Linked DNA regions of Callithrix jacchus. The protein of the gene in region 1 interacts with the protein of each later gene in a biochemical or structural test. Links are inferred from orthologs where the notes say so. Each region holds a gene or a part of one and is shown on either strand. Other genes may lie near its edges.

What was found.
Region 2: the proteins of PRPF40A (region 1) and MECP2 form a complex in vitro, tested with the Homo sapiens proteins (2 studies listed by BioGRID, with this or other methods). The link is inferred for Callithrix jacchus from reciprocal best matches to the Homo sapiens genes PRPF40A and MECP2.

Annotation. Positions count from the first base shown.
Region 1 is NC_133507.1:77,364,011-77,368,612, forward strand, and holds the start of PRPF40A (pre-mRNA-processing factor 40 homolog A), read left to right. Parts: upstream 1-1,614; 5' UTR 1,615-1,798; coding exon 1,799-2,200; intron 2,201-3,288; coding exon 3,289-3,420; intron 3,421-4,602. Other genes in the region: ARL6IP6 (ADP-ribosylation factor-like protein 6-interacting protein 6), read right to left, coding at 400-796.
Region 2 is NC_133524.1:150,008,329-150,012,686, reverse strand, and holds the start of MECP2 (methyl-CpG-binding protein 2), read left to right. Parts: upstream 1-1,390; 5' UTR 1,391-1,423; coding exon 1,424-1,482; intron 1,483-1,953; exon of another isoform or gene 1,954-2,114; intron 2,115-4,358. UniProt on the Homo sapiens protein: Chromosomal protein that binds to methylated DNA. It can bind specifically to a single methyl-CpG pair. It is not influenced by sequences flanking the methyl-CpGs.

The DNA.
Region 1 (4,602 bases):
TAGCACATCTTTATTTGTGGATGAAGGCCACTGAACATATATAGCCTATTTTAATTATATGCACTTTTCATAGTCTCCTTTTAATGGTGGGTGTTTCGCGTTTTAATTTTGCCAATATTTCATCCCCCATGTTCAAGGACTCGAAGATATTTCTTCAAGAGTATCCATTGAATCAAAAGATCCTTTTTAAAAATGGGTCTCCTGATCATGGATCAGGACTTTCTAATTAGAAAAGGCAAAGGGCTGGAGAGCAAAGAAAGATGCAAATAAGGATGGGTGAAAGCAGCTGTCAGCCTGCGGGCTTCGGCAGCGCGAGGGAAAGGGAGATGGGGGCAGGCGAGAGCCACACCCTGGCTCAACTTTACTCGGGACAGACTTTCAAGGCCTCGGCTTTAATACCTTTAACGATCAAGTAGGCGATCGCGAGGAGGAGGGCGAGAAGGATGGCGAAGAGCAGCGAGCAGAAAATAGAAAGGACCTGGACCGGCCACCGCCGAGGCTGGGCTCTGTTGCCCGCAGCCGCCGGAAAGATACCATTGCGTTTATCGGGCAGAACGGGCGACCGGTCCGCGGTCGGCGGGAGTAGCGAGCCCTTTCTCGGCTCTGACCACGCCCCAGCCGAGAACTCCGCCCGCAGGTCGCGGGCCACTCGGTCGCATCCCTCCTCGTCGACTTCGCCTTCACCCCAACTGTCCCCCTGAGTAAAGGAGGAATACTTCGGCCGAGCCAAAGGGGCCGGGGTGCCGGGACCGCGGCGGCGCAGAGCCGACCGCAACCCGCTCTCCACAAACGACATGGCGCAAAAGACCGCGAAACCCGCGGAGAACGAGCCTCTCACATCCGCCCCGCCCAGTGTCCGCAGCAGCCAATCCGCGGCCGGGTGTCGCCCTGGCCGCCACCACCAGGTCTCGAAGCCCAGGGGTGGACCGCGGCAAGCAAGGGTGAGCGGCGGGGCGCAAAGGAAGCCGTGGGGCCGGAATACAGTCGGAATGCTCCTGGGCCAGAGCTCGACCCCAGAGCTGTAGCCGGAAGGGGGAGCAGGAAAGCGCGCAGGGAGAAGTGAGCGGAGGCCAAAGGCAGTCAAGTCTCGACTCCCTGCAGCGCTTCGTCCCGGCCGGAGACCTCCGCCACAGCCGCGTCACCGACTGGAGCCCGCGCCCCGACAGCCCAAAGCCGCATCTTTCCAACGCCGGGTCCTAGCGCCTTTTCGCAACCTCTGACACACATTCGCGAACCTATTTGCTCTCTTCCTTCTTCCCTGCTATGCTCACACTCTTTCTCTAGGTTCCCCAATTGAAGGCAGCTCTCTGTCCCGCGCTCTCGCGGTGCCTTAGTTACTCACCCCTACCTCCCTTTAGTGTGGTTCTCCCCAACCGTACCACAACTTCCCTCACGCTGCTCGACACGCCTCCTTCCCCCTAGCCCCAGCGCACTCTCCACCAGGTGCGTAAGGAGCTCGAACTCTCGTCTCGGAACTCCACCTCTCACCTTCCCCGCCCCCTCCCCTCCGCCTCGAGCGCAGCGCGCGCACCTTCGGCCCCCGCCGCCGCTAACGCTAGGGGCTGCTTACCCCCGCCCCTTCCACCCTGCTCCTGGCGGTCTCAGGTTTGTGGGGCGTACGTAACTCGGGCGGGGAGGGTGAAGGTGGCAGGCCCCCACTGCCCCACCCACTACGGGGTGAGGCGGTCTAAGCTCGGGAAGCTGGGATTCGGTTGTCTTCCCTTCCCCCCTGTTGAAGTTGGTAGAGTTTTCCCGACGGAGGACTAGGCGCAGAAACTTCCGTCCTCCTCCCCACTCCATGCAGGCGACGCCGAGTGAGGCTGAGGCTGGGGGCGAATCGCCGCAGAGCTGCGTGTCGGCGGCGCATTCTGATTGGACCTCGGCGAAGCCTGTCAGCCTGTTGGCCCCGCTGGTCCCGCCCCGTAGCGCAGGGCAGCCTTTAACCTTTAGCCCCAGCGGGCGCCAGCCACTCAGATCGCTTCTTGTTGGTATGTGTAGCGGCAGTGGCCGCCGGCAGAGCAGTCTGAGCCCGACGATGAGGCCAGGGACGGGAGCTGAGCGTGGAGGCCTCATGGTGAGTGAAATGGAGAGCCATCCTCCCTCGCAGGGTCCTGGGGATGGGGAGCGGAGATTGTCCGGCTCCAGCCTCTGCTCCGGCTCTTGGGTCTCTGCTGACGGCTTCCTGAGGAGACGGCCCTCGGTAAGGGATCAGTGGGGCAGTGGGTAGGCGGCACAATGAGAAACGAAATGGGAGAAACAGGAAGCTTTCTCCGAAAGGAGAAGATAAGAGTGGACGAAGGAAGAACTCGAGATGGTGGGATATGTTCTGAGGGAGAGAATTGGAGAGTGGGGTTACACAAAGAGAAGGATGGGAGACCCTAGAAGTTCCCCGTGGGCTTGGCCTAAACAGATGCGTGGTGAAGGTGCTAGTTCTTGGGCGGGGTGAGCGTCTTGGAGCTTTAGGCCGGATTTAGCTGGGAGGGGGAGCAGGGACTTGATTCTCTAAGACTTTAACAGCGACTGCCAAAATTTGTTTTCATTAGTCGAGGTAGTGGTCTGCAGGGGGAACTCTTGGGACAATTGGCAAGAGTTAATTACCTGGTTTTAATTTAAAACATGGAACAATGGATTCATCGGTAAAGAACGTAGTTGTCTTTTTAAAGTGCGTTAAAATAGATGAATTAGTTATTTGCATTTAGCGTCCGTGAGTGACAGAACCTTAGTCTTTTAAAATGTATTTTTGGCAGAAGAATTTTAACTGTTTTAAAGGTTATGTTAGAAAATAAGTTTCTTAGGCGTGAATTGACCCCGGGTACCCTTACTGTTTGTGTTTTATAAGACCGGCTCTCACCAGAGTTAACTTGATAGAGCATTTTAAAGTTTAAAATCAGTAGTGTTACAAAATAACAATAGCTGGCTATCTTGTATATCTGCATGAAACAGAAGAGTTGTTGTTTTCACCAAAACAGTTTTAAAATTAGCATTTAATATATATCTTCCAATCATAGTAAGCCAATTAGTACCTGATTGTCAATGCTTAAAAAGTAAAAAATAGAAAATCTATGATGCAGCTGTCCAGTAATCATCTTAACTTTTTCTGTTTTGTTATGGAATTTGCAAGCTCGTTTTAAATGCCAGCAGAATGCATTTTGTTTAAAGTATAGACTGATCCAATTATGTGATTACACATAAGGTTAATATTGTCGCAGATAACTGATTTGTTGAAATGAGATTTTTGAGAAGCATTTAGTGTTACTTGCTAATTTAAAAATGTTCACTGTTTTTCAGATGGGGCACCCTGGCATGCATTATGCCCCAATGGGAATGCACCCTATGAGTCAGAGAGCAAATATGCCTCCTGTACCTCACGGAATGATGCCGCAGATGATGCCCCCTATGGGAGGGCCACCAATGGGACAAGTAAGAATGTTTTTGTTTTATTTTGCACTTATTTATTTGTTTTTGTCTCAGATATTCTGTCAAGATTTCGAAATCTAGGTCAATACTTAGAGTTAAGAATTAGTTTATGCCCGAATAATTTCAAATAAGCCAAATGTTGAATCATGACTAACGGAAATTTGAATGTAATGAAAAAAATCTGAGAAATTTACTGATGGCCTCAAGAAAAGAATTTTTTTCTTTATTATTTAAAAGTAACAGTGTGCATCCAGGCTTTTATTTTTTAATGATTATTTTTTCAAGCATGCCAGTTGAAGTTAATGTTCTAAGAGTAAATAATATCTGATAGAGCAACATAACTGATTTCGGTGGACCATGTAAATAAAGAGAATCTGAAAATAGCAATTGTTTAGGCCTTTGGCTTAGAGGGGATTTTATTCCTGAAATATCTTCCTCTTTCTGTGCTGGAGGAGGCTGAGGAAGGGTAGGGAGTTTGTGCTCTATAGTTCTGATTGTTCATAGGACAGTGCCAAATAGGTAGTTCATTTCCACTTGCACTATTTTTTTTAATGCTTATTGCTTGTACACTCCTGCTTTTGAGCTGTCCCTTTCATCTCTAGCATAAATTGTAAATGGACATTTTGTAGGAGTGATTTGGATCAGAAGGTTTCAACGCTGATTTAGTGATTTCGGTAGAACTGAGTTTCTAGAGAAGCATCCAAGAAAGGTAACAAGTTCAGTTACCATGAGTAATTTTGTGCTCCATGTTAAATTCTATAATCTTTTGGTAGCTGGGTTATTTCCATTTGAGTATTTCCATAAATCATCAAAAATTTAGTCTTAAGAAAATATTTTGGAAGCCAATTTCATGTGATCTTCTGCTAATTAATATTGTTTGATAATTGTTTAAGCTTTCATGGTTAAAGTTATTGGTGAAATTGCAGCAGGAAAAGGAGCTTGCTATGTGTCTGTCTCTTTTTACTTAACCTTAAGAGTAGAAGGGCTTAATGTCAAGTGATTTCCTTTTTTTTTTTTTATTTGGAATATTGCCCTTAATTTTGTTTAAAAAAAAAAAAAAAAAAAATTGTTCTAAGGCACCAGCCCCAAAAGATTCTGCCTGCAGGAGTTCTTTAACTAAAAGAACCTTTTATTCTGTTACTCTAGAATAACACAAATTTTAAAACTCTCTAGGTGATGGAGAAA
Region 2 (4,358 bases), on another chromosome or scaffold:
GCCCCGGCTGCCTCTCCAATCACATTCCCTACCACTTTCCAGCAACATTGACCTCCTTGTTAGTCCCCAACATGCCAGGCATAGTCTCTCCTCATGGCCTTTGAACTTGCCTGGAATGTTCTTTCCCCAGATATTCATAAGGGGGAGGAAAATGAGGGTGAAAACCAGTAGCTATCTAAACAGCATTCCCTTCACTCTTACTTTCTTTCTTGAAGCCTTTATCACTATGTGAAATTACATATTAGACTTATTTGTATGCTAGTATGACTCTCCCGGCAAGAATGTTAGTCTGCTGTCTGTTCAGTACTGTGCACCCAGAACCTGGAAGAGTGCCTGGCACATAGCAGGTAGTCAATAAATGAATGGGGGCAGGCAGCCAAATCAGAACCAGGTTTTCTTGCTAAGCACAGAACTAACACAAAGATCATTGCATGGATTGGATAATGACTGGCACCAGGGTAAGGTCCCCTTAACAAACATCCCTGTCCTGAACGCCTGGTTGGCTAACACTTTTTCTATACTCTTATTTTCCCAAAACACAGTTGCTGGATCTCAACTGCAAATCAACTCTTCTAGGAAAGTGAAAAACTGCTGGATCTCAGCTCCCAAATCACATCTTCCAGGAAGACCTAAGTGCAGCTTTCTCTGCGCTCCTTATTCACACCTCCACCAAACCATCTGATCCAACAATGACAGGTGTCACGAGGCCTTGGCATGCACTCTCTTCCCCCGCCAGAGTTCTGCGAAGGCCAGGGTTGGGATTTGTCGTCAGTTTATTCCCCGCCCCTATGAGCGTAAGCACCCGGCAGGCTCAGATGAAATAATGCAACGAGTAGGCCTCTGAAACCAAGGCCCCTCAGCTGGAGCAACGTCAGGCTCCAGGGCGGACAACTTTGCTGCTTCTGCTGAAGATGGTGATATTGAGAAAATGCGGGTGCAATGCAACCCTTTTGCAGCGCACTCGATGCATCTGCGGACAGAGGGTTTGCTTGGGACGCAAACAACGTCCCAAGCCTACACCTTCACTTGCCCCAGCATCCGCAAGGGCCCATTAATCCTTAACATTCAAATTCCGCCCACTAAACCCCTCCGCGCCCAAGCCGCCTCTTTTCCCCAAACGACGGCCGAAAGCAGCCAATGAACAGCTAGAGGGGTCTGCCCTCTTTTCCCTGGCCGAAATGGACAGAAAATCTCGCCAATTGACGACATCACCGCTGAGACTCCCCGCCCCAACCCGGCCGCCCCAGCCAATGACGGGTGGGCTCGCAGCTGCGCCGGGGGCGGGGCGCGGGCGCGCAGGTGCAGCAGCGCGCGGGCCGGCCGGGAGGGCGGGGCGCGACGTCGGCCGTGCGGGGTCCCGGCGTCGGCGGCGCGCGCGCTCCCTCCTCTCGGAGAGAGGGCTGTGGTAAAAGCCGTCCGGAAAATGGCCGCCGCCGCCGCCGCGCCGAGCGGAGGAGGAGGAGGAGGCGAGGAGGAGAGACTGTGAGTGGGACCGCCGTGGCCGCGGGCGGGGACCCTTGCTGGGGGGCGGGGGACAGGGGCGGGACGTGGCGCGGGAGGGGCCCGCGGGGTCGGACGACACGGCTGGCGGATGGCGTCCCTCCTCTGTACCCTCCCCCTCCCTCCGCCGGTGGCGACTCTCCCCCTCGGCCCGTCACCCGTGCTCGCGGGTGACCGTCCTCGGCGCGGCCTCCCCGGAGCCTCCTTCGCCTGGCGCACCTCTTTCTCCCGCCCTCTGCGCGCATCCCGGCCCCCGGCCCCCGGCCCCGCGGGCGCCGCTGTCGCCGGGGCTTCGCCTGTCGGGGCTGCGCGCGCTCCTGCCCTTTTCGGGGCTTTGGGCCGCGGCGTCGTCGCGCGCCCGCGGCCCCGGTCTCTCCCTGGATCGCGCTCTCCCCTCTCCCTCCCTCGCGCGCCCCCTCTCCCGTTACTCGGCCCCCCCACCGGCGCGCGTGCGCACTTCGCCTCCCGTCGGGAGAGTGCGCCACAAGGGCTCCTGCGCTCTCACCCCCATCTCCGGGCTTTGCCTCCCCCTCCTTCTCGCCCATTCCATGAATTTCTGCCCCCACTGCGAGCGAGTCGGTCCGCCGGCTCCTTTCCCCATCTAGCAGGAACAAGTAGGTGGGGATTATTGTCCACAAAAGGGACTAGACATTGTGTTCTGGGTCCCACAACTCATCATAAAGGGGTGGTTATAGTTCCCATCAGGAGCCGTGGGTAGGGTGCTGTGCGTCCAGCAGCACCCGAGGCTCTTCGGCGCCTGAGGCTCTTAGGTGTGAGCGTGTCCTCAGGGTGCTCAGAGGTTCTTTGGGGGTGCTGTGGCCTCGGAATGTGAGCACCCTCCCATCCTACCCCCCCTTCGCCGGCGATCTTCCAGTTACATAAGTGGAGTGGGACATAGTAGGTAACGGGCTCTCATCGCCCTGGAGCGCTCCGGATCACCGGTACGAGATGGGGCAAGTTTATCGCGACGCTGTGGCTACTGTTCATTGTGCCCGAAAGGTTATTCTCTGTTGAGTTTGGTTATGACCGAATCACCCAAACTGAAACTCAGATGACTTTTGTGTGGCAGTGGCAATGTTTCTGTGGTTTTGCACTAAAGACTTAGGGTCATTATGAAGAGTTTAAAAGGATTGCTCTCGAAGGGGAGACCGTTTATGACATTGATAAGTATGGACCCCGAGGGGGAAAAAGCTCATTCTGGAATTGCTCTGTGGGGGTTGCTTCTGTTGTGAGTGTGTTCGGGTGTGGGTTGGTCACAGCAGAAATGGGCTCCACCACAAAATTGATATTCCTGACTCATGGTCAGGCAGATGTGTGCTTCTGGTTATTTTTCCAGGAACAAGAATGGGCTCTGCCGAGCCTTTCACAGGTTGTCTGTATGCTGTGTGGGATCAGTACCCCAAACTGTTGAGATAACAGGATCGAATTCAGGGCTTGGTTGGTAATCGAGGAACCAAACCTACTTGGATCTGGTATTGAGTGGCCTGAACATTGAAGGGCTCTTCTAAGTTATAGGCATTTTGTTATACTGTAAAAATGAAGTATATACGGCCTCGGTAGTATCATTGCAGTCATAGATAATTATCACTCTAGAGAATTTTGGATTCCGTGCCTGGGATGTTCATCTGTGTCTCAGCAATTTCAGTTAATAACCAGAGTCAGCTGACCTCTTGGGTCTTTTGAAATATGCTAGGTCCCTATAATAAGACAGGGTCTGGATTTTTTCATCTTTTGGGAATTTCCACCAAGGATTTAGGAAAATAGGCTTATTTATGGGCTTTTCAGGATTTCTGTTTCAAATCCCAGTCAGGAGTCTAGGAAACACTTGCTTTTATTTTCTTACCTGGATATGTCAGAACCTTAAATAACACAGTCAATCTAGAAGTAGTAAGTACGGTTATTAAAATAAGTCACCAGAGGTCACCCATTCGTGGCAGGTCAGCTAGGTGGCTGATCACTGGAATACAGTCACATCCCCAGGCAGACACACAAGCCTCACTTGATGATCACAGAGTTTGTACATCTCAGCTTGAGACATGACAAGTTAAGGTCTCTGCTTTGTTCTTCATAGTTGGCAGTTTGTCTCCCTGGTACCCCTCCAGTTAGCTGTTTGTCACACGCCTAGCCCTTTCAACAGCACAGGCAGCTTCCAGAGTATAGTTTTCTCTGCAGGGTGCCTGTTGGAGGGGTACCTCCCTTTCCATTGTCCTAACGGCTTGAAGAAAATGTCGAAGGCTTTCTTGTTAGCACTGGCCTATCAAACCTTTCTATTGCCTGTTATTAAAATTTTGCCTGGAATACTTTAGAGTACCGGGTCTTTGTTTCACCTGATTGGTAGGAGAGTATCATGCAGTCAGCCGTATTCTGACTTTTGTGCTGTTGAAATCCTGAGGTAGGTCTGGGGCCAGGCACAGACCACTGTGTGTTCAAAGAGTTAGGGTGCTTGCATTCTGTGTGTATGTGTTTGTGATTTCCAACGAGTCATTTCCCGTGCCTGCCCTGCCTCTGTGCAGTCTCATCTATCGGGGCAGGGAGGCATGCTGTGGAGTTTGGGAAAAAAAAAAAAAAAAAACTGGCTAGATGAATTTAGGATGTTGTCCCTCCAGAACATTCCTCCCATGTGGAGATGGAACGAGAAGTTCATTTCTTTAACCTTACTGGAGCCCGGTTTCCACTGCAAATGTGCCTGCTTGGAACTCTGCATGATAAATGACGTGTCCTGGAACCTGAAATCTTTTACTAAGGCTAATATCAGCAGAAATCTTTTAATTAGCTAAGAGCAGTTTGTTCTCAGAATGCCCAAGTTATCTCGGAGGAGGAGAGAATCTCCGAAAATGTTTGGTATTACTAGTAACCAG